4 linked regions of the Elephas maximus indicus genome follow. The protein of the gene in region 3 interacts with the protein of the main gene of each other region in a pairwise test. Links are inferred from orthologs where the notes say so. Each region holds a gene or a part of one and is shown on either strand. Other genes may lie near its edges. The genes, in order: MFAP1, DDX6, VPS52 and NFKBIB.

Region 1 (7,951 bases), on a different chromosome or scaffold from region 3:
ACAGAGTAGAACTGCCCCATAGAGTTTCCAAGGTGCTCCTGGTGGATGGGAACTGCCAACCTTTTGGTTAGCAGTCGTAGCACTTAACCACTATGCCACCTGGGTTTCCATATTACACAACTGGCATTAAAAATCACCAGCAAATGGATGGACTATTCAATCAATGGAGTAGGGATAACTGGTTAACCTTAAGGTAAAAGGTAAAGTCATATCCCTAACTCACCACACATGCACAATTCCAGATGGACTGAAAACTTAAAAGTGAAAGATGTATCTTAAACATTTATATCCCCTACTGGACAGTAAGGTCCTTAACATACAGCCTGTCTTGTATAATTGTGTATTCAATCCTATTTAGTAAATACAAATATTTACATGTTAGAAAACCTTTATAATTGGAATATCTGTGATCTCAAAGTAGGGAAAAATTTCCTAAACAATATACAAAAAAGTACAAAACATAAAAGATAAAACTAATAAATATGATTACATTAAAACTAAAGCTGTGTGGCCATCTAAGATGCATCAATTGGTCTCAACCCACCTGGAGCAAAGGAGACTGAAGAATACCAAAGACACAAGGTAATTATGAGCCCAAGAGACAGAAAGGGCCACATAAACCAGAGGCTACATCAGCCTGAGACCAGAAGAACTGGATAGTGCCCGGCTACAACTGATGACTGTCCTGACAGGGAACACAACAGAGAACTCCTGAGGGAGCAGGAGAGCAGTGGGATGCAGACCCCAAATTCCCATAAAAAGACCAGACTTAATGGTCTGACTGAGACTAGAAGAATCCCGGCGGGCATGGTCCCCAGACCTTCTGTTAGCCCAGGACAGGAACCATTCCCAAAGCCAATTCTTCAGACAGGGATTGGACTGGACAATGGGATAGAAAATGATACTGGTGAAGAATGAACTTCTTGGATCAAGTAGACACATGAGGCTATGCTGGCATCTCCTGTATGAAGGGGAGATGAGAGGGTAGAGGGGGTCAGAAGCTGGCCAAATGGACACGAAAAGAGACAGTGGAGGGAAGGAATGTGCTGTCTTATTAGGGGGAGAGCAATTAGGAGTGTATAGCAAGGTGTTTATAAATTTTTGTATGAGAGACTGACTTGATTTGTAAACTTTCAGTTAAAGAACAATTAAAAACAACAACAACAACAAAAAAACTAAAACAGAAGACTCCATAATTTAAGTTTTAAAAGAAAGCAAAAAAATAAGGAAAAAATACATTACAGGTTTGGAATGCATAAAAACACAACCAAATAGAACCAGGCAATTCATAGAAGAGAAAACCGAGAAAGCCAATAAACATGAACAAGATGCCTGTCCTCACTAGGAATCAGGGAAATGCAAATTAAAATGAGATACCATTTCGCACCTGTTAGATTGGGTACGAATTTAAAAATCTGATACAACCAAGTGTGTGAATGAATACACAGGGAAACAAACTTTTTTCTTACAACTGACTTTGGAAGCAATTTGGCAATAGGTAGCAAAGTTGATGAAGAAATTCTAAGAGTCTACCCAAGAAAGCTTCTCATACAAGTGAACTGAAGAGACATGTTTAAGGATGACAATGGCAGAATTTTTGCAATAGGAGGAAAAACAACACAACTAACTGTCCCTCAGCAGGGAATGGACAAACTGGTTTAATTATACAATGGAGTTCACAAGCAGTTAAATGAATGCCATCTAATGTGTCCCAAGGATAATTTTCAAATGCCATGTTGCACACAAAAAAAGTATATATTTAAAAACAAAAAGAAACAATTGGTATTATTTTCCAACATCTTTACTGAAAAAACTCCGACTCCCCAAACAGGTATGTTGTTCCTTCTTCCATCTGCACCCATTGAAATGCTACCCATTTTTTATGGCTCAACTTCAATGCCACCTTCTTCAGAAAGTTTTCCCTAGTCTGAAGTGATCTCTCCTCTGCCTTCCCACAACACATGGTTTATAGCACCTATATGACAGGTGGAAACCCTGGTGGCATAGTGGCTAAGAGCTACAGCTGCTAACCAAAAGATCGACAGTTCAAATCCACCAGGTGCTCCCTGGAAATCCTATGGGGCGGTTCTACTCTATCCTGTAGGGTCACTATGAGTCCGAATCGACTAGACGGCAACGGGTTTGGTTTGGTTTTTTATGACAGGTATCACAGGTTGAAAGGCCATATATACACAACTTAGAATGTGCGTCCTTTTTGCATGTCTGACACCTAGACAGAACTAGAATATGAGTTCCTTACGATTAGGAGCACTGTCTTACACAACTTTGAATTCAATTTAATAAGCACGGCACTGCATTGGTTGAAAGGGATAAAAAGTTGAAATAAAGCATGGTTCCTGCCTCAAGGAGCTTAATAGCAGGGAGAGATAGACACATAAATAACTATATTGGTAAGTTCTAAAAGCATAAACATGTTGCTACGGAGAACAAAAGAAGGACTGTAACTCGCACAACGCCCTGCAAAGAGCAGGCACTCAATATACATTAGTCTAACGAACTGGTGGAGGTCTGGGGAAGTGGGATGCTGTGAGAGCAAAGAAACCATGGGAACAAAATCAGACACAAGCGGGTTCCCCACTCTCTTCCCCTAGGCAACGCGGTTGGGTGAGAGCTTAGGGTAAGGCTGAAGAAACCGGGGACGAGGTGTTAAGGGTCGGCAGGAGGGGAGGTTGGAGCGATCGGCCAGGGGTAGGTTTGGAAGATGCTGGGGCAGGAAGAGGTAAGATACGACTGTAAAGGGTCTCAGCACAGTACCTTTCTCATTGCGGACTGGGACGGCCCCAGCCGTAGACTGAATAGGCGGTTGTTTCATGAGTGAGCTTGGGACCGACATGTTGATGGCAGCGGCGGTGACTCCTTAAACTTCACTTACTCCAGAGAACACCGACAGCGTCAACGAACAGAAAAGATACTTCCCAACCCAGCTCCACTGGCCACTGCTGCGCGACGACTGGAAAACCTCTTACGCCTGAGCTAGACAAACCGGAAATATGTGTGGAGAGGATTGTGGGATTCTGGAGGACGTCTGAGCGCTTTCGCCTACAAGGTCGAGTCTGTTACTGCGCATGTGCCCGGGCTGCCTTGGCGTCCTCAGTCTCGCAGCATTTGGAAGCCGCTTCTGGAAGCCGCTTCTGGCGGGAAATCGCTTCCTTTGGCGTATGGTCGAAGCCCAGCGGCGACGGAGGTCCAAGTTAAAGGTTTCGCTTGTTAGTTTGGTTTGAAGCCTGTGGAATAGTATAATGATGAGTGAGAAACGGGGGAGATAATGAGGGGCTGTTTGTCTATATTGTTGAAAGCTCAGAGGATTAGGGTTGGATCGGAATAGAAATCCTGTTAATAATAGCACCTGATCAGCTCTACTGATGAGGCCAGGGCGGGCGGTGGTGCGGCATTTTTAGGTCATAAGATGGCAGGTGCTGGTGATTTAGGCCAGTGGCAAAAAAGTAATAAATGATAAAAGAGAAAAGGAAATAAATGAAATTCCTCCAAGAGGCCTCCTTGCCTGAAATCTCAAAACTCCAGTTTTAGCCTTTCACGTTCTTTCAGTTTATGAAGACCACCTCTGAAAATACATTTCTGGCTAAAAAAATATATGTTGGTCAGTCAATAATTAAGTACTTGCTGTGTTTGGAGTCCCTGGATGATGCAAACAGTTGACATGCTTCGCTGGTAACCAAAACGTTGGAGATTGAGTCCAGCCAGAGGTGCCTCAAAAGAAAAACCTGGCAACCTACTTCCCAAAAATCAGCCACTGAAAACCCTATGGACACAGTTCTACTCTGACACATATGGGGTCACAAGAGTCATAGTCAACTCCACCGCAACTGGCTTTTTAACTTGCTGTGCTCACCGGTTTAGTGCTCTATAAGGAGCATGGAGAATTGTTAAAGGGCTCGCATCCTCGAGCTTGAATTCTATTTAGGAAGTCTTCAAGGACTTCTGGAATCACAACAAAGCAGTCCCAATTTTCTAGCTGGGTCATGTGAAAAAAAAACCTGGCTAATTGGAAGTCAGAACAGATTTTACCATGTTAGGTGCCTCCCAGTCGGTTCTGACTCATAGTGACCCCGTGTGCAACAGAAGGAAACAGAGCCGGGTTCTGCACCATCCTCATAATCGTTATGCTTGAGCCCATTGTTGCAGCCACTGTGTCAGTCCATCTTGTCGAGAGTCTTCCTCTTTTTCTCTGATTCTCTACCAAGTATGATGTCCTTCTCCAGGAACTGGTCCCCCCTAATAACACGTCCAAAGTGTCTGAGACAAGGTCTCACCATCCTTGCTTCTAAGGGAGCATTCTGGCTGTACTTCTTCCAAGATGGGTTTCTTTGTCCTTTTGACAGTCCGTGGTATATTCAATATTCTTTGCCAACATCATAATTCAAAGGTGTCAATTCTTCTTCAGTCTTCCTTATTCATTGTCCAGGTTTCACATGCATATAAGGCGATTGAAAACACCATGGCTTGGGTTAGGCACACCTTAGTCCTCAAAGTGACATCTTTGCTTTTGAACACTTTAAAAGAGGACTTTTGCAGCAGATTTGCCAAATACAATGAGTCTTTTGATTACTTGACTGCTGCTTCCACGGGCATTGATTATAGATCCAAGTAAAATGAAATCTTTGACAACTTCAGTCTTTTCTCCATTTATCATGATGTTGCTTATTTTACCATATAAAAAGGACTTTATAAATGATGTGGTGAGGGAGAGAAGGGGCAACATGAACAAAGTCTTGAAGGCCAGAAATAGCATGGTATATAAAGTTTGGTTTTACCAGTTAGTAATTTTAGAGTCAGGGATTGGTGAAAGTCTGGCATGGAGGGCCTTGAAGGTATGTTAAGTAATACGGCTAATTCTCAAATTATTTCTCCTAGGTTCTAAAATTGGGCCTAGGCTGAAAGGAAAAAATAATACTGGACAAGCTTCAAACAAGGAACAGTGGAGGACACAAGTAACTAACCAACGGTACAGTTTTGGGCTTGAAGATATAATAAACAGACTTTTATACTGTATTTACCAGCTCAAAAAATTATGTTGTCCAGAGGGAGTAAATCTGATGGGAAGGCAATTGTTTCAGCTCACAGCAACCCAGAGAATAGAAAAAAAGTTTAATATGGCTGCGACTGTAAGAAATTGCGGGCGCTAAAATCGCCTTTGGCTATTTTGTGATACACAAATTATTTGATTCACAACTTCTTTTTTGCAGACTTTAGGCTATTTAAAGTCTTAGTTAACAGGTGGGCAGATGGTCAGAAGGTGAAATTTAAACAAATTTATCAGCTTTTGAAACAAAACTAAAATGCTTCCCTTCCTAGGAAGACGTTTCCGTAGAAGCAGTAGGGCACGATTCTCTGGTGGTAGGGTCAGGAGCCAGGTGGGCGGAGATAAAGCAGCGTGTAGATTTCGACTTCCTTTCTCTTCCATTCTGCAGGGAATTGAAGTGCGTCTGAATCTTTTCCAGTCTCACATTGCAAGGCAAAGTGGTTTTTCCTCAGTAGAAAAGTGCCAGTGTTTTTCAAAGGGGGTCCGGCACCACGAACATCAAAATAACCGGGATCCAAGGTAAAAATGTTAATTAGCTCCTACTGCATCTCTAAAGATTTTGAATCTCGGAGTGAGGCGGGTAACCCAGCCTGCTTACAGAAACTCCAGGCCAGCTGCGGGATGAGCCAGGCAGCGCCGCGGGACGGGGATTGCAGCCTCTCCCGCCCGGCCCCGCCCACGCCCCGCCAGGCCCCGCCCACGTCCCGGCCCCGCCCACGCCCGCCCCGGCCCCGCCCACGCCCCGCCCGGCCCCGACTCCCGCCGCGCTCTAGGCGGGAAGGCTCCAGCTGCTGAGCCGCGGGAAGATGTCGGGGTCCGGCGCGGCGGCCGACGAGAAGGCGGCTTCCAGGCTGCGACCCCAGGTGAGGGTGAGAAACGGGTTGGCCCTTCCCGGTGTTCTGCCGCAGTCTTCGGGTCTTCATGAAGGATCTCCCAGGCAGAGGCCCGGCAGGGCACGGGGACCTGGCACGGGACACCTCTCCACTCCAAAACTGTTTCCCGCCCCTTGAGGCAGCTCCCCGCTTGCTGGGTGTTTCAGGATGTTGCTTCAAAAAAATAAGCGGGGATTCCTGCCCTGATTTTCCCCCATAGAGAGCTAGGCCCTCTGCGTTGAGAAAGGTTCTTATCAGTAACCCTACAAATGCAGTAGTGTCAGGGCCAGATTAGCGACTCCCTTTCTGCTACCGGCTGCACCCTCGGAAGCTGACAGCTGGGGTGGGCTCCTCAGTTATAGGTGGTAGTCGTTGTTATTACTGGCCTGGCCAACTTGTATGGACAGGAAATGTGCCCCGGAATTCTATTTAGTTAAGTGAAGGAGATGTCTAGATTTTGGAGGTTTACCTTATAGGCTATGAGTTTGGATTTCTGTTGGTATCATAAAATTGAAATTAAGTTTACAGACATCTGTTGATGTCTGTTTCTTATCTGTAAGAGAAGAAAAGTCATAGGACCTGAGATTCTTAATACTGTTTTCCTTTCTGTTATTGACCTGATTAGGTGAATGAATATAAAGAAAATCAAAACATCCCTTACGTGTCTCTGAAACCCATACCGAGGACAGTTTTAGAAAAAACAGTTAAAGTTCACCTGGCTGCCTTTTCACTCAGTAATGACAAGCTAGACCAAGTTAAGCACCCCAAATCACTATTAGAAAAGAATTCTAACGATGTGCCGCTGTGTAAGAAGACAGAAATAAAGAAAACTTGCAGAGGGATTTTAACTCCAAAGATGGAAGCCACATCTTCCAGGGCAGAATCCAGTCTGCAAAAGTCGTCCTTAGATGTTCATCCTGAGAGTAACAGGGGACAGCACCAGAGCACTTCAGATGCTGTGATCGTCAGTGTTGATGTGGAAAGTGGCCAGGACGGGGACAGTGAGGAAGAAACCACATCAGGCCTGGTAGGAACTTAACTAGTAGCTTGTTCCAAGTTTTATTGTTCTGCAATTTGAAGTTCTGATAAACTAAGGCTATCAACGGTCTCTTCAGCTCAGATTGTTTTATCTGATTTAAGTGTAATTGAAAAAAAATTTTTTTAATGTTTAACTAATAACTTGGGTTAATTTTGTACTTGATTTTGGTGTGTCAGAGACACAATTGACTTAATCTTTTCTCTGCTTCACTTTATCCCCTCTCAGTTTACTGTTTTTTTTTCTTGTAAAAATATATAAAAACATTTGTCATTTATTGCATATATTATTTGTGTTTACACATTCTTTATGGTGCCTTGCTCATCTTTACATGTTTATGCAGTGTATCAGAAGTCGGCTTGTGGAACATAGGACATTTGAGCGACCCCCGATATTTCCTTTAATATTCAAAAAGGAGACAAAATATGGAGTAGAGAAGATATATGAGGAACACTTACCCTTACCTCTTCTGTTTAAAATAATATTTCGGATCAGTTTAAGGAATTAAGTATCTAATTCCTGTGGCTTCTTACTTATGGAGTGTTATGCTCTGTTCAAAGTGACAAATTTAGTTCAGGACAAGGTGAAACCACCACATGACAAAATATTGATGGAACTGAGAAAACAGCAAATGATGATAGGGAAAGGAAACTGATCATGGAAGTATTGTCGTTCTGCCACAGGAGGTAGATTTATGCTTTTTTGTCCTGGAGGTTTAAGAGCCAGGGCCTGGGGTGGGGCCTGTGGGCTAATTCAAAAGCAAGTTGAACTGGGGGTTGGGAGCTTGGGCTCCTAGGCGGGGCCACTAGAAAGGAACCTTATGCCTTTAGGGGAAATCACCTTTACTGTGAGGGGGTTGGAATAGATGAGTGGTTCTCAAACTTTAGCCTTCATCAGAATTAGCTGGAGGCCTTGTTAAAACACAATAGCTGGGCCCTACCCCCCAGACTTTCTGATTCAAAAATTCTGGGGTGGGGCACT
Region 2 (7,217 bases), on a different chromosome or scaffold from region 3:
AACCTTACACTTTCAGAAAAAACACTGTGTGCCCTTATGAACTTCAACTACAGAAACTGAACTTTCCAAAGAAAAATGTACGTTCCTCTTTCCCTTAAGCTTTTGCCCCTTAAAATAGTGACTGAAGAAATCACGGGACACAGACCTGTCTGCATGTCAAAATTGCATCTTTGAAAAACAGCCAAGAAAATCTTTAACTACTTTAATAAAATCTGAATACTAAAAAACTATTAGCTACATTTTAATATAACATTTTTTCCCAAAACTATGCCCTAATTTAAAATAGTCCTGTTGTTCAAAAATAGATTTAAAAAAATACACAAAAAAATTTCCTGTGTAAAAGGAGTAAATCTGTGAACAGCTAAGCACAGTAGTGACTTTAACAAACCCTTCCAAGAAACCCAGAGTACTAATTATTTGTTTTAAAAAAGAACTAGTCAAATTTCACTACTTTCAACTTCTGTTCCCAAAATCGAATTACAGCCATGGGTTGCTTAAGGTTTACAATATGTTCTGTGAAATAGAATACTACGTGATTTGGATGTTGTGTGAACACCGTATTATATACAGGCAGTCCCCAGAGTACAAATGAGTTCTGTTCCTATGTCTAAGTCGAATTTGTATGTTAAGTCATAACAGGTACGGTTCATTTCTAACGTCAGTTAGTCGAATGCTTGTCTTAGTATGTATATAGTGTACGTTTCTATGCATGAAAAACATTTAAAAAAAACTCCCAGATACACTGAAACGTCTTTAACATGATAAAGTAGGAATCAACTTGACGGCAATGGGTTGTTTTGATGCGCAAGGCAAAGTAGCACCCATTTGTTATTGTGAACCATTGTGTCTACCTCGAATTTTTAATAGGCTTTACAGGGTAGGTTCAAAACTACAGGTTGTACGTTAAGTACGTTAAGCAGAAGTTCCTAGGTTGGGCGTCCGCAACCCAGGGACTGATTGTACTTAGCAAAGCCATATGGGATGCTGTAGTGTTACCTATATTGACTGAACAGCCACCACGAAGCTGTTCCCTATGTCCGGTTCTCCAATCGAGATTTCTTAACTCTATTATAACCTTCTGGGACCACAGACGGATACGTGGTCCAACACTGCCTGAATGGACCTTATGCGGCACATGACTGCATTTAAAAACTTAGTAAATAAAAACTTAATTACAAAGCCCAGAAAACAAAGGCCTGCTGTTGTTTTTTTTTTTAACTCCTTTACATTTCTTACCAAATATACACTAACTTATTAATCAGGACTTATTATTTTTGCCATACATCATGGGTTTTCAAATTTGAAATTATAAAATGCTCCTTTGTCTTCCTTTTTTAATTGACAATCAGGTTGCTCACAAGCCAATCCTAATTATCTCATACACAGAGCTTTATATTTCTACGTTTCCCTGTATCTGTCTGACCACTCAAGCGGACCATGGCTAACAGCCACCTAATTTCAGTTTCAAGGTAGTAAATGGTTTCCTGATTTGGGAGGTTTATATTATCATGATGAACAATATCACCGAGTTCACACCGGGAGACTCATTTGTCTGCAAGACACTAAGAGGATGAAGAGGGCAACCCCTAAAGATTAAATGATATTACTACTACCCATTATAAACAACAGGACCTCTGTTCTCTCCAGATCCAAAATGTGACTATGTGGTAACTGCTCCCCTCTTAATTGAACTGAAATCTGCACTGCAGAGAAGAAAATATTCCTCTGGCCCTTCCCAATTTAGTGTTGCAAATTGTATTTCTACGTTTTCAAAAATACGAAGGAAACGTAAACTAGTTGGGAGGAGCCGCTAGTGGAGTTAACTACAGCACTTTTCAGGTTGTAGTTAGCAACTGACACTTTCACACCCAAAATATCATTGTCATCTCCAACGAGAGCTTTTGTTTGCAAACGCAGCGCAGTTTCGGTATGCTAGATCTGCAAGTTGTAGTGAGTTTTATTCTGAGGGGAAAAGGAGACCGTGGAAGAGAAAAGGGAATGAGAGGGAAATGAAAGAGGCAAGCCAATGATACGAGCCCCGTTTTGTGAGGCAATAATTTCTGATCTACGTTCTCCGCATCCTCAGTCCCTTACACACTTCAAGTCAGCTTCCTCTGGCCATATACACAAAAGGGTTGGGGCCCTGCAATCGTATCTGCGCAACATGAGCCAGGAACCAGCTCCGAAGGTTGGAAACAATAGAGACTCCCTCCATAAGGCCTCAAAGTGATACCCCTAACTCAGAAAGGCCCTCATTTCCTCCACGACTCGGGGGCTCCACAAACACACTCTTGTTATGGATCTAAAAGCCCCATCCCAATCAAGCAACTGCTGGCCCTCTTTTTAACAGGGCCCTTAAATCCGGCATTTCCATGCCGCCCCCTATAGGGCCGCCGCGTACCCTATAACCTCCACCACCCCCCTAGTCCTTGCCGCTCCCTCCAGTTCCATATTCATCATCCACTGCACATCTCCTCCGAGTACTTCGGCCGCTCTGTATCTGGACCCCACCGCGCACGACATTCCTATTTCTGCTCCTCTCAGGCGCCCCCGTCCCACACAGCTGCTGGCAGCTGCCCGCCTTCCTCCCCAGGGCCGGACCAGGCCTTAGGCCTCAGCCTCGGAGCGCCCCCCACGCCGGGCTCAAAGCTTTCCGCAGCCCCAGTGGCCCGTCAGACCTCGACCCCACCACCTCACCCCGCTCCCCGCGGCTCGAGCCCGCGTCCTACCACCGAGGCCACTCCCGCTCGGCACCCTCAGTCCTTTATTGTTGACTCGAAGCTCCCAAAATGGCGGCGGCTCCTTCCTCTTCGGAAACCTCCGCCCACCCCCGCCCGGCCCCCTCGCTTCTGCCTCTTCCTGCCCCCGCCCCGCTCCTGGGGCCGCTCTACTGAGCATCCCGCGTCGGCCCGGCTCCCCGGGCCAGTCCAGCCCTACCTCTGCCGCTGCCCGCTCCCACGGAGCCGCCGAAGTCGCCGCCCGGGCTGAGCTAACTCGGCTCCCCTGCCCCCTCCCTCTCCCGCCCGCCGCCGCCGCCGCCTCCCGCCCTCTTTCCCTGTCTCTCCGCATGGCGGCGGCCGCGGCTCCTCCTCCACTCAAGATGGCGAGAGCTCAGGCAGCCGTCGCTGCGCCCACGGCGGGGTCAAGGCCTCTCCTGCTTCGCGGCAGGAGAAAGGCGACCCGGGGAGCCCCCCTGAGAAAAAAACGGAGGACTGTTCTCCCACACTGACTGGGGGACCAGCGGGTGTCCAGGTGGAGAGAAGTTGAAGGGGAAATAGTTTCCTTTCTGAGGAGAAAGGAGGGGTACTTTTTCCTCAGCTGAGGAGATGTCTGGGTAATAAAGGGTGGGAAGAGTCCACTCTCCCTTTGCCTCTTATGAGTCGGAATCGACTCGACGGCAGTGGGTTTTATTGGGTTCTCAAAAGTGAAAATCGGGGGCTGCGACCAGACGAGGATCTGCTTATTCCTGACCAAAGACACGTTCCGAGAACGGCCTGTTCGGACAGTGGCTCCGGGACCGGATAGCTGGCCTGACTTCTCCCATGGTCTGGGAGCCTGCTGCTGGACCCAAGGAGCCGCGCCCGAGCCCCTCCGGGGGCGCCTCCATCCAGGAACGCGCGGAGCGGGAGTCCCGGAGGCGCCGGCGCGCGCCTGGGGTGGGGGCCGGAAAGGGACCGAGAAGGCGCTGCTGAGGGGTGAGGGGCCGGGACCGACCCCGGAGAGCGCGAGGTGGCCGCTGCCCGGGCGCGGACGGCGGCGGGGCCGGGGAGCGAGCCTTGAAGTGGGAGGCTGGGCTACCGGGTCCCGGAGACGGCGCGGAGGGCGCGGGCCGTGGACAGGGGCAGCGATCCTGCGTTGTCGGCTCTAATCGTCAGCCCTCCAGGGAAGAGGGAGCGGAGGAGGCCAGAGCTCTCCCAGAGAAGCGCGAAAGCTTCTGATGAGTCAGTTAAATGGAAGTAGTTCTGTGAGGAAATGAGGAACCAGAAGGCGGCGAATGCTTTTTTCTCGTGCCTGACCCTCGCTACAAAGACAAGTAATGTATTTGTTCCCAGAATTACTTTTCCTATACACGACCCTGATGTCTCCATTTATCCTTAACAGAAATAACAAGAATGCAGTCTCATCTTAGGTAAAACAAAAATTTGGAGCTAGAGAGCTAACTAGGTCAAGAGAAAATAAAAACCTGGGTCTCACCCAGCTAAGAGACTGAATATACAAGGGGACAGTGGCCAGACCATATACGACAGAACTCTGACCCACAACCTCTGCAACAAGGCTCAGGAAGCCAAGCCACAACCTCTGCAGCAATCGGCCCAGAACGGTCAGCATTCGGTCAATGACCGCCAGCTTCCCTGTTTTTCGCCCGCTTCCAACTCGGAACCAATCAGAGAAAGCCAAATATGCTCCCCAAACCAATCACATAAGATGCCCCCCGCTTGTAGTTAGCCCGCCTCTAGCTTCCCTAAACCAACAACCTTCAGAGTCTACCTGAACCTTAACCTTGTTCTCACTATAAAGCTTCCTTACTCCCCTGCCTGCCTTTGAGTCTCTACCAAATCAAGAGATGATGGTTGATTGCCTTGCTATATATAGCAAGCTCTGGATGAACAGCCCGTTTGTTCTCATTTGTTGGTCTTTATTTCCACACAGCCAATGGAAACGAAGAAGTGTAGAAGGTTATTCCTGAAAAAGGTTCCCCTTCCAATTTTTTAAATTCTAAATTTGTAGCATGTCATTTCTCACACAGATTTTAAAACACCCACTTATGTAAGGGAATAACCTTGCACCTTGTGCCTATCCTAGAAGAGAATAGCTAAGTAGTTTCTTAAAATGATAACGTGGGAGAACTTGTTTGCCTCATTATCTTTCCCAGGATTAGTAGGAATGTGAAGGGCAGGAGGTCACTTCCTGGTGGGATCTCCGTAGGCCACTCAAGAAATGGGATCAGGCAAAGGAAAGCGGTTTGCAACCACAAATAAACTGTTACCTTCCAAAGGGGGCTGATTGAAGTCATGACAAAAAGAGGAAAAGAGAAGAGGCAACCAAAGTGGAGTATGAAGCAGCTCCCCTTCCAGGGCTAAAAGCTTTAAAGACTCTGCTTAATGTTTTTATAAAATAGCCTAGTACCACTGTTATTGTCTGCTGCCCTTGAGTGGGCCCCCATTCATAGCGACTCTGCACGACAGAACGAAATGCTGCCCATTCCTGTGTCATCCCTTGTGCTCCATAGGGTTTTCATTGGCTGATTTTCGGAAGTGGATTGCAATGCCTTTCTTCCTAGTCGTTCAGTTGGGAAGCTTGGCTGAAACCCGTTCAGCGTCATAGCACACAAGCCTCCACTGACGGGGGGCCCATGAGATACATTGGCTGGGAACTGAACCCAGGTCTCCTGCACGGAAGGTGAGAATTCTGTGGATTCTACCACTGAACCACCATGCCCTCAAACCAGTTGCCATTGAGTCTGCTCTGACTCACGGCAGCCTCACGTGCGACAGGTAGAACTGTGCTCCATAGGGTTTTCCATGACTGATTTTTCAAAGGATCACCAGGCCTTTTTTCCAAGGTGCTTCTCTGGATGAACTCAAGCCTTCAACCTTTGGGTTAGTAGCTGAGCGCTTTAACTTTGCACCACCCAGGGACTCCCCAGATCAGCTCTTTCTAGTCTTCTGGTGAAATAGCGTGGATGGTAAAGAATTAATTTTGAATCCTTGTATCTTTTCTTCTGGACTCAATTTTATGGTTGCTAGATCCAACTATCTCAATACCTTTTTTATCCCTAGGTCAGATTAACAAGAATCATAGGAAATGATACCTTAGGAATACAAATTATTTGCTAACGTACATAAACCCAAACCCATTGCTATCGAGTCGATTCCGACTCATAGCAACCGTATTGTTTTCTTAAAGTATTTATACTTTGTATAGACTGTAAGTATACGTATAGGGTCGCTATGAGTTGGAATCGATTCGAGGGCAGTGGGTGGGCATACGTATAATTATACTTTATACAACGTACGCCTACTCCTCAGTTAACAACTCTCTCATTATCTGATACATTGCATTTACGACAACAGTAAAAAATCTACCCGTCTATTTTGTGAATTAATGACGTACGTCTGGCAGTAACCCTTTCTTGTCCAATGGTACAGATAGTGCTCACCTACATTTTCCGCCTCTTGGGTCTGGAGGGACATATGTGTCCCACAAAATATTTTGTGATCTGATGTGGTTATCATCCATTTTTGCATAAGGCTAATTTTCCCATAATGACCTGGTCTTTGGAACCTGACCATGTCAATAAGTTAGGAGTGGAAATATTTTTACTTTAGTATTTATAAAATGAAGAAGCCCTGGTGGTGCAGAGGTTAAAGTGCTCAGCTGCTAATTGAAAGGTCGGCAGTTCAAACCTACTAGCTGCTCTGCAGGGCAAAGATGTGGCAGTCTGCTTCCATAAAGATTGTTGTTGTTAGGTGCGGCTGAGTCAGTTCCGATTCATAGCGACCATATGTACAACAGAATGAAACACTGACTTGTCCTGTGCCATCCTCACAATCATTGCTATGTCTGAGCTTATTGTTGCAGCCACTGTCTCAGTTCACGTCATTGATGGTCTTCCTCTTTTTCGCTGACCCTCTGATTTATCAAGCATGATATCTTTCTCCAGGGACTGGTCCTTCCTGATAACATGTCCAAAGCATATGGGACAAAGTCTCACCATCTTTGCTCCTAAAGAACTTTCTGGCTATACTTCTTCCAAGACAGATTTGTTTGTTCTTCTGGTAGTTTATGGTATATTCAATATTCTTCCCCAACAGCATAATTCAAATGCATCAATTCTTTTTTCATCTTCCTTATTCATTGTCTAGCTTTCACATGCATGTGAGGCAAGTGAAAATACCATGGCTTGGGTCAGGTGCACCTTAGTCATCAGGGGGACATCTTTGCTTTTTAACACTTTGAAAAGGTCTTTTGCAGCAGATTTGCCCAGTGCAATACATCGTTTGATTTCCTGACTGCTTCTTCCATGGGTGTTGATTGTGGATCCAAGTAAAATGAAATCCTTGACAACTTCAGCCTTTTTTCCATTCATCATGATGTTGCTTACTGGTCCAGCTATAAGGTTTGTTTTTTTTGTTTTTTGTTTTTGTTTTTAATGTTGAGGTGTAACCCATACTGAAGATTATAGCCTAGGAAACCCTGTGGGGCAGTTCTATTCT
Region 3 (7,850 bases):
CCAGGGTGAAGGTGTTAGGGAGCCTGGTTCTAGCAGTTTCTGGGTATCTACCCCCACTCCCCACCTTGACCCGGAGCCGGTCAAGCACGCCTCTGACGTCTGCACAGGCCGCTGTGCCCCTAGCCTCCTGCTCTCTGACTGCAGCTGCCTTGGCATCCAGCTCCTGCAGCTGCTCCAGGAACCTGGGCTCTGTCACCGGGGCCTCCAGAATTGCCCTGGGTAGCAGGGAGGAGCAAGGTGGGTTAGGTGGGAGACCCAGGCATCCCTAGACTACGCCCAAACCACACCCCTTACACCCAGCCTCTGCCTGCTGTACCTTCTTACACTGTAACATGCAGTCAGGCTGTATGTACAGTTTTCTGCTTCTAGACTCTCCACGTAAGCCTCGAACCTCCTCACTACACATCTGACCCTAGATGACTCCTAATCTTTGATGCCTAAAGCACATATCGCAGTGAGAAAAGACTGTCAATCCAACCACCAACTTCTGGCAGGCGCTTGATGACCAGGACCCAGAAGACCCATGTGGTAAGTCTCTAGCTGCCATAGATGTTGTGACCCTTCAGACTGGCGACTCACGTGACCAGGGCAGAGGGCACCACCAGACCATCAACAAGCTCCCCAAGTTTCCCCCGAACTGCCTGGCGGTTTCGAAGACGAATGTTCATAGCTCCTGACTGTTCCTGCAGTGTCCGGATCTCAGAGCTGATGGAGCTGAGGTCACTCTGGAAAGCTCCCAACATCTGCTCCATGCGCTGGGGAGAGAGTAAATGCTGCTGGAGCACCAAAGGGTTGGTAGGGGACAAGTGGGCCATTTAATTCTCTTGGTGAAATCTCTAGTATCTATCAGTTTGTGAGGGTGGGGGGTGATGAGGGGAGAAGTATCCCAAAGGTCACCGTTCGGAAAGAATATCAGCTATGGAAATGACCATGAAAAAGGATGCTGAGGTCATCCTGAAAATGACTCTAACCTGTTTCCACCTAAGGTCAATGACTAAAAATGGCACCAAAAGTCTTGGACCAGTTCATGCTTGTTATGGGTCACAGGCCATGGTTACTAACCTCAAGGACAGCATCACAGGCTGTGATCTGGTTGTGCAGAGATGCTATATTTTCGCTCTCTTGGATATCTGACCCACAAAAAGTCAAGGGGCCTCATGCTGAATATGGAGATTCTCAGACCTGCAGAACCTCTCTGATTTCTCCCTGAGATGACAGAAACCTCAGGGAAATCTCAGCCCTAGCTGGGCTGCCTGCACCATACCCGACAAAATCCCTGTCAATAACACCACTCCTGCCCTCTGGTGGAGGATACAATCTCGAATGGACTTCTGTTCAATCTGCTGTAGCTCCAGCTCAACCTGCTTTGAATAGTGACGGAGGTCCACACCCTAGGAAGACATATAAAGTGACAGGTCAGGACTAAGTTGCAACAAAGAATCACTGGAACAGAATCAACAAAGGGCTAGAGAGTGGGACACCACGGTCATGTCATGAGAATAGAAGACTGTTTTTCTTTTCTTTGGGGGGAGGGGAGATGAGGGAGCAGATTAGTACAGTGGAAAGCCTCACCGTTTTAAGAGCTTCCTTTACTAACTCATCCTCCAGATTTGCCTGAATGTGAACTGGAAATAGAAAGTTATCATAAGAGCCCGGATCTACAGCTCTCACCCCCCACACTAAGTATCTGCACACCAGTCTCTGTGTTACTCCTTCTGGCACCTGCTGCACCTTAGATTACAGGCACTCTAACTTCCAGCTCTGCAGAGGCCCCATGCCATCACTTACCATCCACTTCATCCAGGATGAATTCATCAGAAGTGATGTCCAACTCCCCAAGTTGCAGTGGCTCCTGGAGCCCAGTACCACTCCCCTGGGAAGGGAAAAATTACCGAGAGAGGGGTACGAGGAGGAGGAAAAGAACAAAATACAATAGGACGTCCTCAATCTTCCAAGTGGGAGAGAGGTTCTTTTACTGGGGAGTAGTAAGTGCTGAGTCAAAAACCTCCGAGAGTCTCACTCTGTACCCCACCTACTATTTAGGATTTATGGACAGGACATATGGCAAAGGAAGCATGTAATCCATGAAGAGGGAGGAGGTCTCTGAGGAAGATGAGAAGCTGCAAAAATTGGGCAGATCTTGCAGCTGACTTTAGGAGTCCTAGACTCCTGCTATTTCACATGTCGTATCACCATCTTTCTGGGGAGTCCGAGCCTTTCTAGAAAAGTCAGCTAAAACTTAAACACTGTTTAAGTGCATGTCAGGGACCGTTTTACATATATTCATTCACGTAATCCTCACAATCTAATACGACAGATACTATTATTTTCGTCATCTCATAGAAAAAGCTGGTTAACTTGCCCAAAGACAGTGTGTAGGTGGCAGAGCTGGAATTCGAACCCAGGCTGTGTGGCTCCAGAGGCTTCTCTGTTCTGCCCCAAATCGGGAGGAGTTGAAATTGTGCCCCTGGAAACTGAGTCATGGCTACTCTGGTTTTCGTTCAGGTTCAGGTCCGATCCCAGGAAGCCAAACAGGTAGCGTTACCGATAGCAGCCGAGCTCCCACCCTTTTGTGCCTACACCCAGCCCGGGACTTCCTGACGCTAGGAGGCCCGGATGGAGCTCCGGAGAGGAAAACAGCCCGGCGCTCTCACCAGCGGGCCCTCCTCCTCTTCCATATCCGAGGCGCCGGCTCGCAACACCAGCTCCCGAGCTGCTGCCGCCATGGTCGCAACTGCGGCCATTAGGCGCAGCCTCACTTCCGGCAGCTGTCAGTCCGGGCAAGTCCGTTCCAGAGAGCCTTGCACAACGCAAACCCGTTCGCAGATAAATGAGTTAAACTGTCTAACTCCTTTCAATTGTAACCGCTTCACCTAAGCACAAACGAGAGTGCGGAAGTCTCACATACAGCCTCGTCCCGGAATCTTCGCTGTTGCCACACCCATGAACTTTACGGACAGTAAAGAGCAGACACCACCGGAAGTTGTGGCGTCCAAGTCAGCTCCTCAGAAGTCTAGTCAGTTTGGGGTGAAGCCGTTTCAGGAAGCGCTTCTTCCAGATGGCTCCGCCCCTTCCACCAGAGAGCTATATAAGTATTTGGCGTCACTTCCGCTCTCTCTTCCACCGGAGGCCTACACGCCGCCGAAGCTACCGCCGCCATGGTAAGTCTAGAGTCCGGGTCGGGATCTGGCTGCATCGGAACCGGGGCAGGGAACGTCTGCTTTCAGAGGGCCAAAAACGCCCTATCCTAGGGGCCTGCAACTTTCTGTGTGGAGCCTTGCATTACACCCCTGAGAATGGATGACCAAAGACTTCCAATTCCGGGAAACGGGACCCGGGAAAGGGTCACTCCCTGGAGGCACGAAAGCGGGGAGAGGTTTAGGCGTGTGCGGGGATCTCCGGCAGCTTCTACGCAGAATATGCTTTTGGGAGTCGGCAGGGGACCTGTCCCCTTTCCGGAAGTTGCATATCCCTAGGCCTGAACGGTTCATGATTCTGCTGTCTGCAGGAATGAGGAGTTTGCGGTGATGTGAAAACGTGGAGTGGGTCATTGCTCCCTATGTGACAAACTTAGCGTTCCTGTTTGAGGTGGTTCGTTCGTCTTACGGTTTGACGGTAGTTCACAGTGTCTGATCCCCCCCCCCATCTCTTTCAATCAGTCTCTGGTGATCCCCGAGAAGTTCCAGCACATTTTGCGAGTACTCAACACTAACATCGATGGGCGGCGGAAGATAGCCTTTGCCATCACTGCCATTAAGGTAAAGTAAAGATTATAAATGAGATTTGGGTTGTTAAGAGCTAAATTATAAATGAGCAAGGTCGAGTAGGCAACCAGATCACGTTGGCTGCTGGGTTTAAAAAAAAAAAAAAGCTAAGGGGAGTGATTAATCCCTTAACCACATTTACCACAAAAGGTGAGTAATAAAAGCCAGAGAAGGGTCTAAGGTCAAGCCAAAACGTTTCACTAGAGTGAAAAGGCTGGGTATGGTTGTCGACCGGAATTTGCTAAAGTTATTTAAAGCTGTTTTCTGAACCTTCAGTTTGAGATTTCTGTCTCCACTACATCATAACAACAGCCCTTCCTGTTAAATTTATACACCCTGAAAACCTTATAATTCTTACACATCTTGAATGAGTAGCTGTGCCAACAGATTGCAAGTGTCAAAGAATATATCCATGGGACAGGGTCATCACTAGGTCCTGAGCAGGATATTTACTCAGTTGTCGGAGGTGAAAGTCAGTGTTCTTTCCAGCTGAAAAGGGAACCCCAGTATATTTTGGTTTGGGCTTGTTGAAAGAATTAAATGCAGGTTTGGATATCTACTTTCATCCAGCCTTCTGGCTGGGGACATTCTATCGTTTATAGAATAATTACTTGTACAAATAGCTGAATGTGTTTCTTGCCCTGCAGTACCCATAACTCAGAGGGAACAGGGCCAAGCCAGTCTTGTTTACAGTCCTCTACTTCTGGTGTATTGTTGAGGCTTATTCAGTGTTAGGGAATGGATGGTACTGGGGATACCTTACCCCCGCCTCCGGTGACAGAGGGGGTGTCCCGACTGGTCCTGACGACCATCGAGTTTGTCAAATTTCCTTGATTTTTTTTCACTCTCATACAGAGAGCAGCTTTTACTTGTTCTCAATTGAATACCAGACCCACTGCCCTCAAGTCTATCCCGACTCAGCAATCCATAGGGTTTCCAAGGCTGTAAATGTCTAAGGAACCAAACTGCCACATTTTTTTCCCACTGAGTGGCTGGTGGGGTCAAACTGCCAGCCTTTTGCTTCACAGCCAAGCAGCTTAACCACTCTTTTTTAACAGAGCTGCTTCAGTTGAATACAGAAGAAGCTTAAAGCTTCTGTTTGATATTCTCTGAAAATGTAAGATACCCTAAAGATTGAATACTTACTGCAAAGCCTTGCTGTGAGCCATAAGCGAGTTTGTGAATATAAAAGCGGAGCATGGTTAGTAGGGTGCTTCTTCACTCTCTGCATCTTTGCAGTTGATTTGTTAAATGTGTGTCATAATCTTTGTAGTCGAATTAGATTTCATGGACAATTGTTCAGCCATTTTCAGATATTTAGCATGTGAAGAGAAGTCTCACAGGGGGATGGGATCCTGGTGCCCTGCTATCATTGGGAAGGGCTGTTCCTTAGAGATCTCTGGGTACTGAAGTTTTTGTTAGCAGAGAGCCAGGAAAGGCAGCTACCTCTTGGTGACAGACCTAAAGCTTGGAGGTGGTCCTTTATTAAGAACGAGGGATTGGGGGTAATTCTAGGAAATTGGGAGAAGATTAAAGAGGAAAAAGGGAGGCTGAGTATGGGGAGGGGTTCCTCAAAAACGTGGTTAGCCCCAGAATGGTGAAGAATGAAAGTTAACATAAGAAAAGGGTATATACTGACAGGTAGCAGATCTACTGTGGGGCATTTGGTGGTTTAGTAGTAGAAATTTTGACTTCCATATGGGAGACCTGGGTTTGATTCTTGGCCAGTGCACCTCGAGCAGCTACCACCCCTCGCCTGTCAGTGAAGGCCTGCATGTTGCTGTGATGCTAGGCATGCTTCAGTGGAGCTTCCAGACTAAGATGGACTAGGAAGACAGACCTGGAGATCTACTTTCCACTGCTCTGCCAATGAATACCCTGTAGATCACAACGGTCTAATCCACAACCAGTCACAGGGAGGGTGCAGGACTGGGCAACATTTCATTCCTTTGTGTGTGAAGTCACCATGAGTTGGGGGGCCAGCTAACAGCAGCTAACAATATAGATCTGCAGGAAACCCTGGTGGCGTAGTGGTTAAGTGCTACGGCTCCTAACCAAAGGGTCAGCAGTTCACATCCGCCAGGTGCTCCTTGGAAACTATGGGGCAGTTCTACTCTGTTCTGTAGGGTTGCTATGAGTCAGAATCGACTTGACAGCACTGTTTTTGGTTTTGGTTTAGTTCCTGGGTGGTACAAATGGTTAAGGGCTTGGCTGCTTACTGAAAGATTGGAGGTTCAAGTTCACCCAGCCAGCATCATCAGAAGAAAGGCCTGGCGATCTACTTCTGAAAAATCAGCCATTGAAAACTCTATAGCACACGGTTCTACTTTGACACATGGGGTGGCCATGGATCTGAGCCATCTCAGTGGCAGTTGGTGAAACATACACGTATGCGTGTATCCTGCAAAGCTTTTCTGTGCTGTGATTTTTTCCCCTCATTGTTTTGTTGCCACTTTCAGTTTTTTGCTGTATTTTTTAAGGCTAGTGTTCTGCCCTCTTCTACATCAGGATTATAGCTGCCATCCAGGAAGTATTTGGAAACTTGGAGGGGTTAGAGTTGACTTGAAGGTCCCCATGGGTCTTGTTCACAAGGAACTCTTGTCCCACCAAGATGCCAGTTGTCCTGGAACACTTTCAGAGTCTTCAGTGTTTATTTTTAAATGCAGGTATGAGGCACACTAACAACTTTTCTGTCCAGTGTAGAAATAGATTCTAAATTAAATACCAAAAAACCAAACCCACTGCTGTTGAATCGATTCTGACTCATAGTGACCCTATAGGACAGAGTAGAACTGCCCCATTGAGTTTCCAAGGAGTGCGTGGTGGATTTGAACTGCCAACCGTTTGGTTAGCAGTCGTAGCACTTAACCACTATGCCACCAGGGTTTCCAAGTTAATACGGACTACTAAATTAGTTGATCAAATAATTTCAGACTTGAGTCCTTGGAAAACCACCTTTTTGTATCCAAGTGCTGGCTGTGTCCTTAAAGAGGGTAAGTGTAATGATTAAGTTGGCTATCAACTGTTACATAGTCCAGGCCCTTAGGAGAAAGTGATGGTCACTGCAGTGTACTTTTGTGGATAGAGGAGGCCTGAAGAGAACAGCGATCTTGGGGCAGAGAAAAGGGGACCTAACCTCTTGGCAGGCTAGCATCTAGAGTCAGTAAACAGAGCCTTCAAGATCTTTGCTCGACAGCAACTTCTCAGGAGCATGGTTATGGAAAAATTTAAAGATTCAAAGGTAACCAAGGTGTCCATCAACGGATGAATGGGTAAATAAATTGTGGTATATTCACACAATGGAATACTACGCATCGATAAAGAACAGTGACGAATCTCTGAAACATTTCATAACATGGAGGAATCTGGAAGGCATTATGCTGAGCGAAATGAGTCAGGCAAAAGGACAAGTATTGTATAAGACCACTATTATAAGATATTGAGAAATAGTAAAAACTGAGAAGAACACATACTTTTGTGGTTACGAAGGGGGGAGGGAGGGAGAGGGTTTTTTATTGATCAATCAGTAGATAAGAACTGCTTTGGGTGAAGGGAAAGACAACACTCAATACATGGAAGGTCAGCCCAATTGGACTGGACTAAAAGCAAAGAGGTTTCCGAGATAAAATGAATGCTTCAAAGGTCAGCGGAGCAAGGGTGGGGGTCTGGGGAACATGGTTTGAGGGGACTTCTAAGTCAATTGGCAAAATAATTCTATTATGAAAACATTCTGCATCCCACTTTGAAATGTGGCGTCTGGGGTCTTAAATGCTAACAAGCGGCCATCTAAGATGCATCAATTGGTCTCAACCCACCTGGAGCAAAGGAAAATGAAGAACACCAAGGTCACACGACAACTAAGAACCCAAGAGACAGAAAGGGCCACATGAACCAGAGACCTACATCATCCTGAGACCAGAAGAACTAGTTGGTGCCCGGCCACAATCGATGACTGCCCTATCAGGGAGCACAACAGAACTCCTGAGGGAGCAGGAGATCAGTGGGATGCAGACCCCAAATTCTCATAAAAAGACCATACTTAATGGTCTGACTGCGACTAGAGGAATCCCGGCGGCAATGCTCCCC
Region 4 (7,507 bases), on a different chromosome or scaffold from region 3:
CACTTGAGGCTATGCTGGCATCGCCTCCCTGGAGGGGAGATGAGAGGGTGGAGGGGGTTAGATGCTGGCGAAATGGAACGAAAAGAGAGAGTGGAGGGAGGGAGTGGGTTGTTTCATTAGGGGGAGAGCAATAGGGAGTATGTAGCAAGGTGTATATAAGTTTTTGTGTGAGAGACTGACTTGATATGTAAACTTTCACTTAAAGCACAATAAAAAAAATTTTTTTTAATGCCCTTTAAATATAAAGACACAAATAAGTTAAAAATTAAAAGATGGAAAAGATATACCATGCTAACGCTGGTCACAAGAAAGCTGGAGTATTTTATTATCAGAGTAGAGCCGTTAATATCAGAGCTTCAAAATACACAAAGCAAAAACCAACAGGATTACAAGGAAAAACAGACAAATCCCCAATTACAGTTGGAGATTTCAATACACCCCTCTCAATAATTGGTATAACAAGTAGACAGAAAATCAGCAAAACTAGAAAACACTATACACCAACTTGACCCAACTGACCTTTGGAAAACGCTCCTTGCAACAATGGCATAACGCACATCCTTCTCAAGCACACATGTAACATTTACCGAGACAGACCATATTCTGGGCCATAAAACAAGTCTCAATAAATTCAAAAGGATTCAAACCATACTAAGTATGTTTTCTGGCCACATGAAATCAAATTAAAAAATCTGTTAACAGAAAGAAGCGTGGAAAACCTTCCAAATATTTGGAAGCTAAACAACATACTTTTAAATAACCCAAGGGTCAAATAAGAAATCAAAAGAGAAATAGAAAGCATATTGAATTAAATGAAAATGAAAACACAACACATCAGAATTTGTGAGATATTGCTAAAGCAGTACCAAACCAAAACCAAACCCACTGCCGTCGAGTCGATTCCAACTCACAGCGAACCTACAGGACAGAGTAGAGCTGCCCCATAAAGCGTCCAAGGAATGCCTGGCGGATTCGAACCGCCAACCCTTTGGTTAGCAGTCGCAGCACTTAACCACTACACCACCAGGGTTTCCACTAAAGCAGTAGTAAGGGGAAAATTTATACAGCTATACGCCTGTATCAGATAAAAGGGAAAAGGCTCAAGTCAATAAGCTCAGCTCCTATCTTAGAAAGTTAGGAAAAGAAGAATAAATTAAAACTAAAGTAAGAAGAAAGGAAATAATTAAGATCAGAACAGAAATCAATGAAATAGAAAGCAGAAAAACAACAGGGAAAATTAATGAAAAAACAACCTGGTTCTTTGAGAAGGCCAATGTTTATTAACTGCCAAGGAAAAGAGAGTCCTGGAGATCTACTTCTAAAAAACCAAAAAAAACAGCCACTGAAAATACTGTGGAACACAGTTCTACCGACACACATGGGGTTGCCGTGAGTTGGAACGGACTTGAAGGCAACTGGTTGGTATGGATCTAGGAGATGGTGGGTGGTACAAATGGTTAACATGGTTAACATCCTTGGCTGCTAACCGAAAAGCTAGAGGTTTGAATCCACCTAGAAGCACCTAGGGAGAAAGGCCTGGAGATCTACTTCCAAAAAATCAGCCATCGAAAACCCTGTGGCACACAGTTCTGCTTTGATACACGTGGTGTTGTCATGAGACAGCACCAACTTCACAGCAACTCGTTGGTTACTACGGGTCTGGCACTGTCCAAGTCACTGGGGTACAGCAATAAACAAAACTGACAAAAGACCCCAGGCCTGTATGACTGCTATTCCTTCTGCCTGCAATTCTCTTCTTTCCAGATACCTATTTGTCTCATTTTCCTGCTATTTCTCCGTAACACTTGCTATCTTCTGATAGACTATGTTTTTATTTCCTTCCTTCCTGTCTTTCTTTCTGTCTGACCTTCTGTCTGTCTAGCTCTCCCACCTAGAATGTATGCTCCATAAGGACATAACTTTTTGTCTGTTTTCTTCATAACCTTATCACTGGCATCTAAAACAGGGCCTGGCACATGGTACCAAAAAAAAAAAAAAAAACCCACTACCATCCAGTCAATTCCAACTCATAGTGACCCTATGGGATAGAGTAGAATTGCCCCCATAGGGTTTTCAAGGAGCGGCTGGTGGAGTCAAACTGCTGACCTTTTGGTTAGCAGCCAAGTTCTTAACCACTATGCAACCAGGGCTTCAAAACATGGTAGTTTTCAATAAATATTTGTTGAATGGATGAATCCCTGCTCTCATGGAGCTTACAATCTCTCTCTGAATGAAAGATTTGAAAATTACTGCTCCAGAGGCAGGACCTTAGAGTCAGGGGCCAACTATAATGTCAGAAATCAAAGTCTAGGCTTACAAATCATGAATTAAGGATTAAAGACCATGTCTGGAGGTTAGAGGTCAGGAGGTTAGAGGTCTCGGGCCACATGAGGTCAAATTGGGTTTTGGGATCAGTGGGTTAGGGATGTGGATTCCAGGAACTAAGAATCAAGAGTTCAAGAAAGGAGAGTCAAAAATGATTGGGTTTAAAAAAAAAATTTACATATATATATATATACACACACATATATGGTTAAGATCAAAGTTGGATAGATTGATTTATTAAAGATTAGGATTTGGGAGTTAGACGTCAGGAAGTCAAGGATCAGAGGTCAGATTTAGGAGTAAAGGTTAGAAAGCCGGATCAGACCACTGGGGTATCAGGTAAAGCTGATCTTATCCGAGGTTGGATCCTTGGGGCCGGTTCGGGAGTCTAAGGTTCACTCACGTGTCCCCATCCTCAGTGACGTAGCCGAAGACGAGGGGCACCCACGAAAGCCCCGGGCCCAGCTCTGCGCCCAGCCCCGGTCCTCCGGGGACCGCTGCGTCCGGACCCAACGAGCCCAGGCCGCTGTCGCACCACTCATCCGCATCTGCGGCTTTCCCCAAGCACGCGACCCCGGCCATGCCCCCCTCTGCCTCCGGGACCCCAGAGGCCGCCCTCCGCCAGCCTGCCTGCCTCTGGGCTGTGCCCGGACCTCTGGAGCTTCCGCCCTGCGGGGAATTCCCCAACACTCCCCCTACTGTCTCCAATAAGAGTGGGCTAAATCGCTCACGTCCCGCCCAATCTCGCACCAAGACCAATCAGAGTGTCGGAATGGACTACAGCTCTCGACCTGTTCCCACATTTTCCGGGCGCCCTTTACCAACATGGCTGCCGACGCGCGGCCCTCTGGGACTCGTAGTCCGGCTCTCGTGTACCTTCCTTATCCGGAGGGACGCGCTCCGATCTTTGAGAGAATCGCTTGTCTGCGGCCGCTATTGCTTCTGGGAGTTGTAGTTCTCTGCCTCTTCCTTGCCTCTCCCCCTTCCGGTGCCGTCACGGGACAGAGCAGTCGGTGACAGCCCCGAGGGCCCCGGCCCCGCGCCCATGGCCGAGCCGGACCGTGAGTCGAGGGCTCTGGTGGGAGGGACGGGCCGCACCGGGGCCTGGTTTCGTGATCCAGGCCCTGGGGCCCGAGAGCGGGCGCGGTGGGGCAGGAGGTGGAGGCTGCGTGGGGGAGTGGAATTTGAAGGGCCATTGCTAAATGCTCTGTGTCGATAGGTTGTTGGGTTTCTGGGTCGCGAGGTTTTAAGGGTCACTTTACCGTGTTACTGATAATCGCATGTTTTTCGACCCTCGTTGCTAAGGACCCTCGTTGCCGCGATCCCGGTTGCTAAGGGTACCTGGTTGTTAGGGGCAGCTGTATGATGCTAGGCGGCCCCGGTGTTCCCTCCTATCTCTTCCCTCTAGTTCCTGTACCTCTCCTAAACCTACCACCGCCACCGCACCTCCTCTCCCAAACCCGCCTCCCAGCCAGGGTATCCCTTCCTACCTCCTTTCTTCCTAAATTTCCCTCCACCCTGGAAACCTAACCCCCTCAACACACACACACGGCTGTGCCCTTTCTAACTCTTTCTAACTCTTCTTCCACACCCTGTATCCCTTCCTTTCTCCTCTCTGTCCCCCTAAACCTGTCCCTCCCCTGCCTCTCTGTCCCTCACTAGCCACCTCCCTTCCCAGCAATCTCCACTCTAATATGATCAGCTTTTCCTCATCCCCTCCTCTCTACTCCTTACCCCAGTGTGACTAGGTCGGTGGGTCTTCTGGGTCCCCCTACTCCCGCTCTTAACCCCTTCATTCCCCCTTAACCATCCCCCCCTGCTGTAACCATGTCTGCTCCCCTCCTCCCCCAGCCTCTGACCCTCTGGAGACCCAGGCAGGGAAGGTGCAGGAGGCTCAGGTGAGATGGGGTAAAGGGTGGAATGGAGGGAAGGAGACAGATGGACTTGTTCCTACATCCCACACTGGGGGAGGCGGCAGAGGGAAACCAGTTCCCCTAGGGCCCCCAGCTCACTGCCCCAGGCCCTCTCCCCCACCCAGGGTGCAGCCTCCTGGGGAATGGTGGATTCTGGTGACTTTCAGAGAAGGGTGTGTTACCCCAGTCCCAGGCCTGCCCTCCCAGGTTCCCTCTTTCCTTGTCCCTCTTCCCCCCATCCCTTCTGAACCTCATTTGTACTGGGCCTGGGAGAGACACACATCAGATTTGGTCCCTGAACTCACGGCTCTCACAGAAAAATCACTAGAAAATGAGTCTATAAGGGAATAATGGAGGTATCTCAGGCCACTGTGGGAGTAAGCCTTGTGGGATCACAGACTCTACCTAGCCCCTTCCCTGGAGGAATCCACAGGCTGGCCTAGGAGTCAGATTGAGATATAGACACAGTGTAGTCGGTGAAGACTGGCTTAGAATGTTCCTACACAAGGTGACAAATGGTGTTCCAAGCAGAGGATGTAGTTTGTGCAAAGACCTGGAGGCATGAAAGACTGTGATCTGTTCAGTAGTTTGGTGGCTGGGGATGGTTGTTGTTAGGTGCCATGAGTTGATTCCAACTCGTAGCAGCCCCATGTGACTGAGTAGAACTGTCCTATAGGATTTTCTAGGCTGTAATCTTTACAGGAGCAGATTGCCAGGTCTTTCTCCCAGGTAGCCACTGCATGCTTTCGAACCCCCAATCTTTCAGTTAGCCACTGAGCACTGGCCGGTTGCACCACTAGGGCTCCTTTGGCTAGGAATGGTCGAATAATTATATCCATGGCTAGCATTGATTGAGTGCTTACTCTGTGCTGGAAACGCTGGTGGTATAGTGGTTAAGTACTACAGCTGCTACCCAAGAGGTCGGCAGTTTGAATCTGCCAGGCGCTCCTTGGAAACTCTGTGGGGCAGTTCTACTCGGTCCTATAGGGTGGCTATGAATTGGAATCTACTCAACAGCAGTGGGTTTGGGTTTTTTTGGTTACTCTGTGCCAGGCACTCTGTTTAGTGCTTTGTATGCATCGCCTGGTTTAACCTTCCCGATATCCCTGGGAGGCACACGCCCGTTGTGTAGATGAGGAATCTGAGGTATCTGGGGTATCTGGGGCAGAGGTGATAAGACTTGCCTTCTGTCCCTTGGCTAGAAGAGCAGGAAAGGGTTTGGAACTCAAGACCTTCAGCATACTGCCCTCCAGACACTGAGACGACAGGGCCGCCTCCTAGAAGCTGGAGGCTGGAAGACTTCGCCAGCACCTCCACCTCCCCTGTAGGCAAAGCTGCCCCTGGCTGGGCAGGGCCCTGGAGTCCTCCCACAGAGCCTCTTTGTCTCCAGCCCACCCACAGATGCGAGATGGCTTTGCAGATGTAGACCAGTGTAGATGCTGGGATTAAAGTACCTCACAGAGGCATAGCACAGTGACACTGAGGGTATGAGAGCTTCCCCTCAGGCCAGGGTTTCAAACCCCCCTAGCTCCCAAAGCACCACTGCTGTCATGTGGGGTCCAGAGAAAAAGGCTTAGTATTAGAAAGGGATCCTCAGTCCCCGAGAGAGATGGAGGACGTAAATCGCAGCATTGTCTCTGCAGTGTGGCAAAGCTGGAAACAGCTCAAATGGCTGTCAGTAGATGAGTTAAATGAACTGGTTCGTCCATACAATGGGACGCTATGCAGTTGCTTAAAAGGAGGAGGTGGGTCTGTACTGTACTGTTCTCTGGAAAACTGCAAGGTGCAGCCTCAGACTAGGGCCTGACCCATTTCTATCAAAATAGTGAACGTTTACATGTAGAGGAGAAAGCTGGCATAATTAACATCAAAACTTAACTAATAGCGGTTATCTCGATGGGGCCTGGGAGAGAGAACCATGAGGCAAGTGCCCCAAGTTACACATTTTCTAACCTTCAAAGTTTTTGCAAAGCTTGTGTAATCTTAAAAAGTGTCAAAGAAAGAATCATACCAGATAGTGTTAAAACATGGCGAGGGTGACTTTGATTCAAAGGGAAGTTGCAAGGGGAGGGGAAAGAAATACAAAACTGGATGGATGGAGCACTGTAGTGGGAGGAGAGGGAGCACTAAGGGTGAGACAGGGACACCAGGACTGTGTCTGACCCCCAGCCCTCTGAGATGCAGGACTGTGAGCTTTTCAAAAGAAAGTTAAGGGGGATGCTGGGGAGTCCCTGGGCGGTCCAAAAGGTTAATGTGCTGGCTGCTAACTGAAAGGTTGGTAGTTCGAGTCCTCCCAGAGGCACCTTGGAAGAAAGGCCTGACAATCTTCTTCTGAAAAACTCCGCCATCAAAAGCCCTGTGGAGCACAGTTCTACTGTGACGCACATGGGGTCACCACAAGTTGGAACTAACTCGACAGCAAATGGTTTTTTTTTTTTGGTGAATATTATACCGCGGTTGTGATTAGGGCCTGTTTGCGCAGAATTTTTTTTTTTTCTGTCATAAGGCACCTGGATCTTGGGGGACCCAGTATGCATTGGAGGTAAGGAAGGGGAAGCTAAAGTTATTCAAGGAGAGTAAATCGTTATGTCTTGGTCAGTGCCTTGCAGTAAGCCCTGTCATTTGGAAGGGGAGGTTCTGATTCAAATAAGCTTAGAGCCAGGGCAGTGAGTGATAGGGGAGCGAGTTGTGGGAGGGGTCTTAAGCAGGGGAGTGAGGTGGTCAGATTTGTGTTTTGGGGAATCATTACAGGGTCCAGCCCTGGTCTAGCACACAGCAGGTGTTCGTTCAGTGGTGGATAGTTCTGGAACTCTTGGCAGGCACCAGACCATGTTCTAGGTGCCAGGCATTCAGTGGTGAACGTGGCAGATCCAGTTCCCACCCTCGTGGAGGATTGAGTGACTGGAGAAGCCACAGACAAAGGCTTTGAAGTAGCCAGAAGCGGGCCAGGGCCCAGGCAGGCCGTCACGTGGAGGGGAGATGGGAAGTGGAGACTGAGGCTGAGAGGTCAGGAGGATGCAAGGCGAGGTCTGGGCCGAGAGGACAGGCTGGACCAGGTGGAGCTGTGGGGAAGTGGAAATGGTGCTCAAGAGGCCAGGTGGGCTGTGGCAGGAAGCGGGAGGTGCCCAGGACGAGGTGAGGCCCCCTGAGATGAGGTCCAGGAGGAGGACAGATTTGGGGGAGATGCTGAGGCCAGTTTGGGACACAGGAGAAGTGAGGGTCCTGGGGGTCATCCACAGGGAGGTGTCCAGGAGGCCGCCGACCCTGGA

What was found.
Region 1: the proteins of VPS52 (region 3) and MFAP1 interact in binary tests that used the Homo sapiens proteins (3 or more experiments, as listed by UniProt). The two-hybrid records come from large-scale screens. The link is inferred for Elephas maximus indicus from reciprocal best matches to the Homo sapiens genes VPS52 and MFAP1.
Region 2: the proteins of VPS52 (region 3) and DDX6 interact in binary tests that used the Homo sapiens proteins (3 or more experiments, as listed by UniProt). The two-hybrid records come from large-scale screens. The link is inferred for Elephas maximus indicus from reciprocal best matches to the Homo sapiens genes VPS52 and DDX6.
Region 4: the proteins of VPS52 (region 3) and NFKBIB interact in binary tests that used the Homo sapiens proteins (3 or more experiments, as listed by UniProt). The two-hybrid records come from large-scale screens. The link is inferred for Elephas maximus indicus from reciprocal best matches to the Homo sapiens genes VPS52 and NFKBIB.

The regions. Positions count from the first base shown.
Region 1 is NC_064828.1:12,257,187-12,265,137, reverse strand, and holds the start of MFAP1 (microfibrillar-associated protein 1), read right to left. Parts: upstream 3,018-7,951; 5' UTR 2,855-3,017; coding exon 2,776-2,854; intron 1-2,775. Other genes in the region: WDR76 (WD repeat-containing protein 76), read left to right, coding at 5,869-5,925, 6,560-6,961. UniProt on the Homo sapiens protein: Involved in pre-mRNA splicing as a component of the spliceosome.
Region 2 is NC_064835.1:11,249,140-11,256,356, forward strand, and holds the start of DDX6 (probable ATP-dependent RNA helicase DDX6), read right to left. Parts: upstream 3,018-7,217; 5' UTR 2,938-3,017; intron 2,820-2,937; exon of another isoform or gene 2,698-2,819; intron 1-2,697.
Region 3 is NC_064819.1:96,065,601-96,073,450, forward strand, and holds the start of VPS52 (vacuolar protein sorting-associated protein 52 homolog), read right to left. Parts: upstream 3,004-7,850; 5' UTR 2,745-3,003; coding exon 2,655-2,744; intron 2,536-2,654; exon of another isoform or gene 2,363-2,535; intron 1,874-2,362; coding exon 1,789-1,873; intron 1,626-1,788; coding exon 1,573-1,625; intron 1,392-1,572; coding exon 1,316-1,391; intron 1,131-1,315; coding exon 1,063-1,130; intron 756-1,062; coding exon 580-755; intron 216-579; coding exon 65-215; intron 1-64. Other genes in the region: RPS18 (40S ribosomal protein S18), read left to right, coding at 3,159-3,161, 3,660-3,758. UniProt on the Homo sapiens protein: Acts as a component of the GARP complex that is involved in retrograde transport from early and late endosomes to the trans-Golgi network (TGN).
Region 4 is NC_064829.1:112,633,632-112,641,138, forward strand, and holds the start of NFKBIB (NF-kappa-B inhibitor beta), read right to left. Parts: upstream 3,006-7,507; 5' UTR 2,908-3,005; coding exon 2,729-2,907; intron 1-2,728. Other genes in the region: SIRT2 (NAD-dependent protein deacetylase sirtuin-2), read left to right, coding at 3,371-3,386, 4,177-4,223. UniProt on the Homo sapiens protein: Inhibits NF-kappa-B by complexing with and trapping it in the cytoplasm.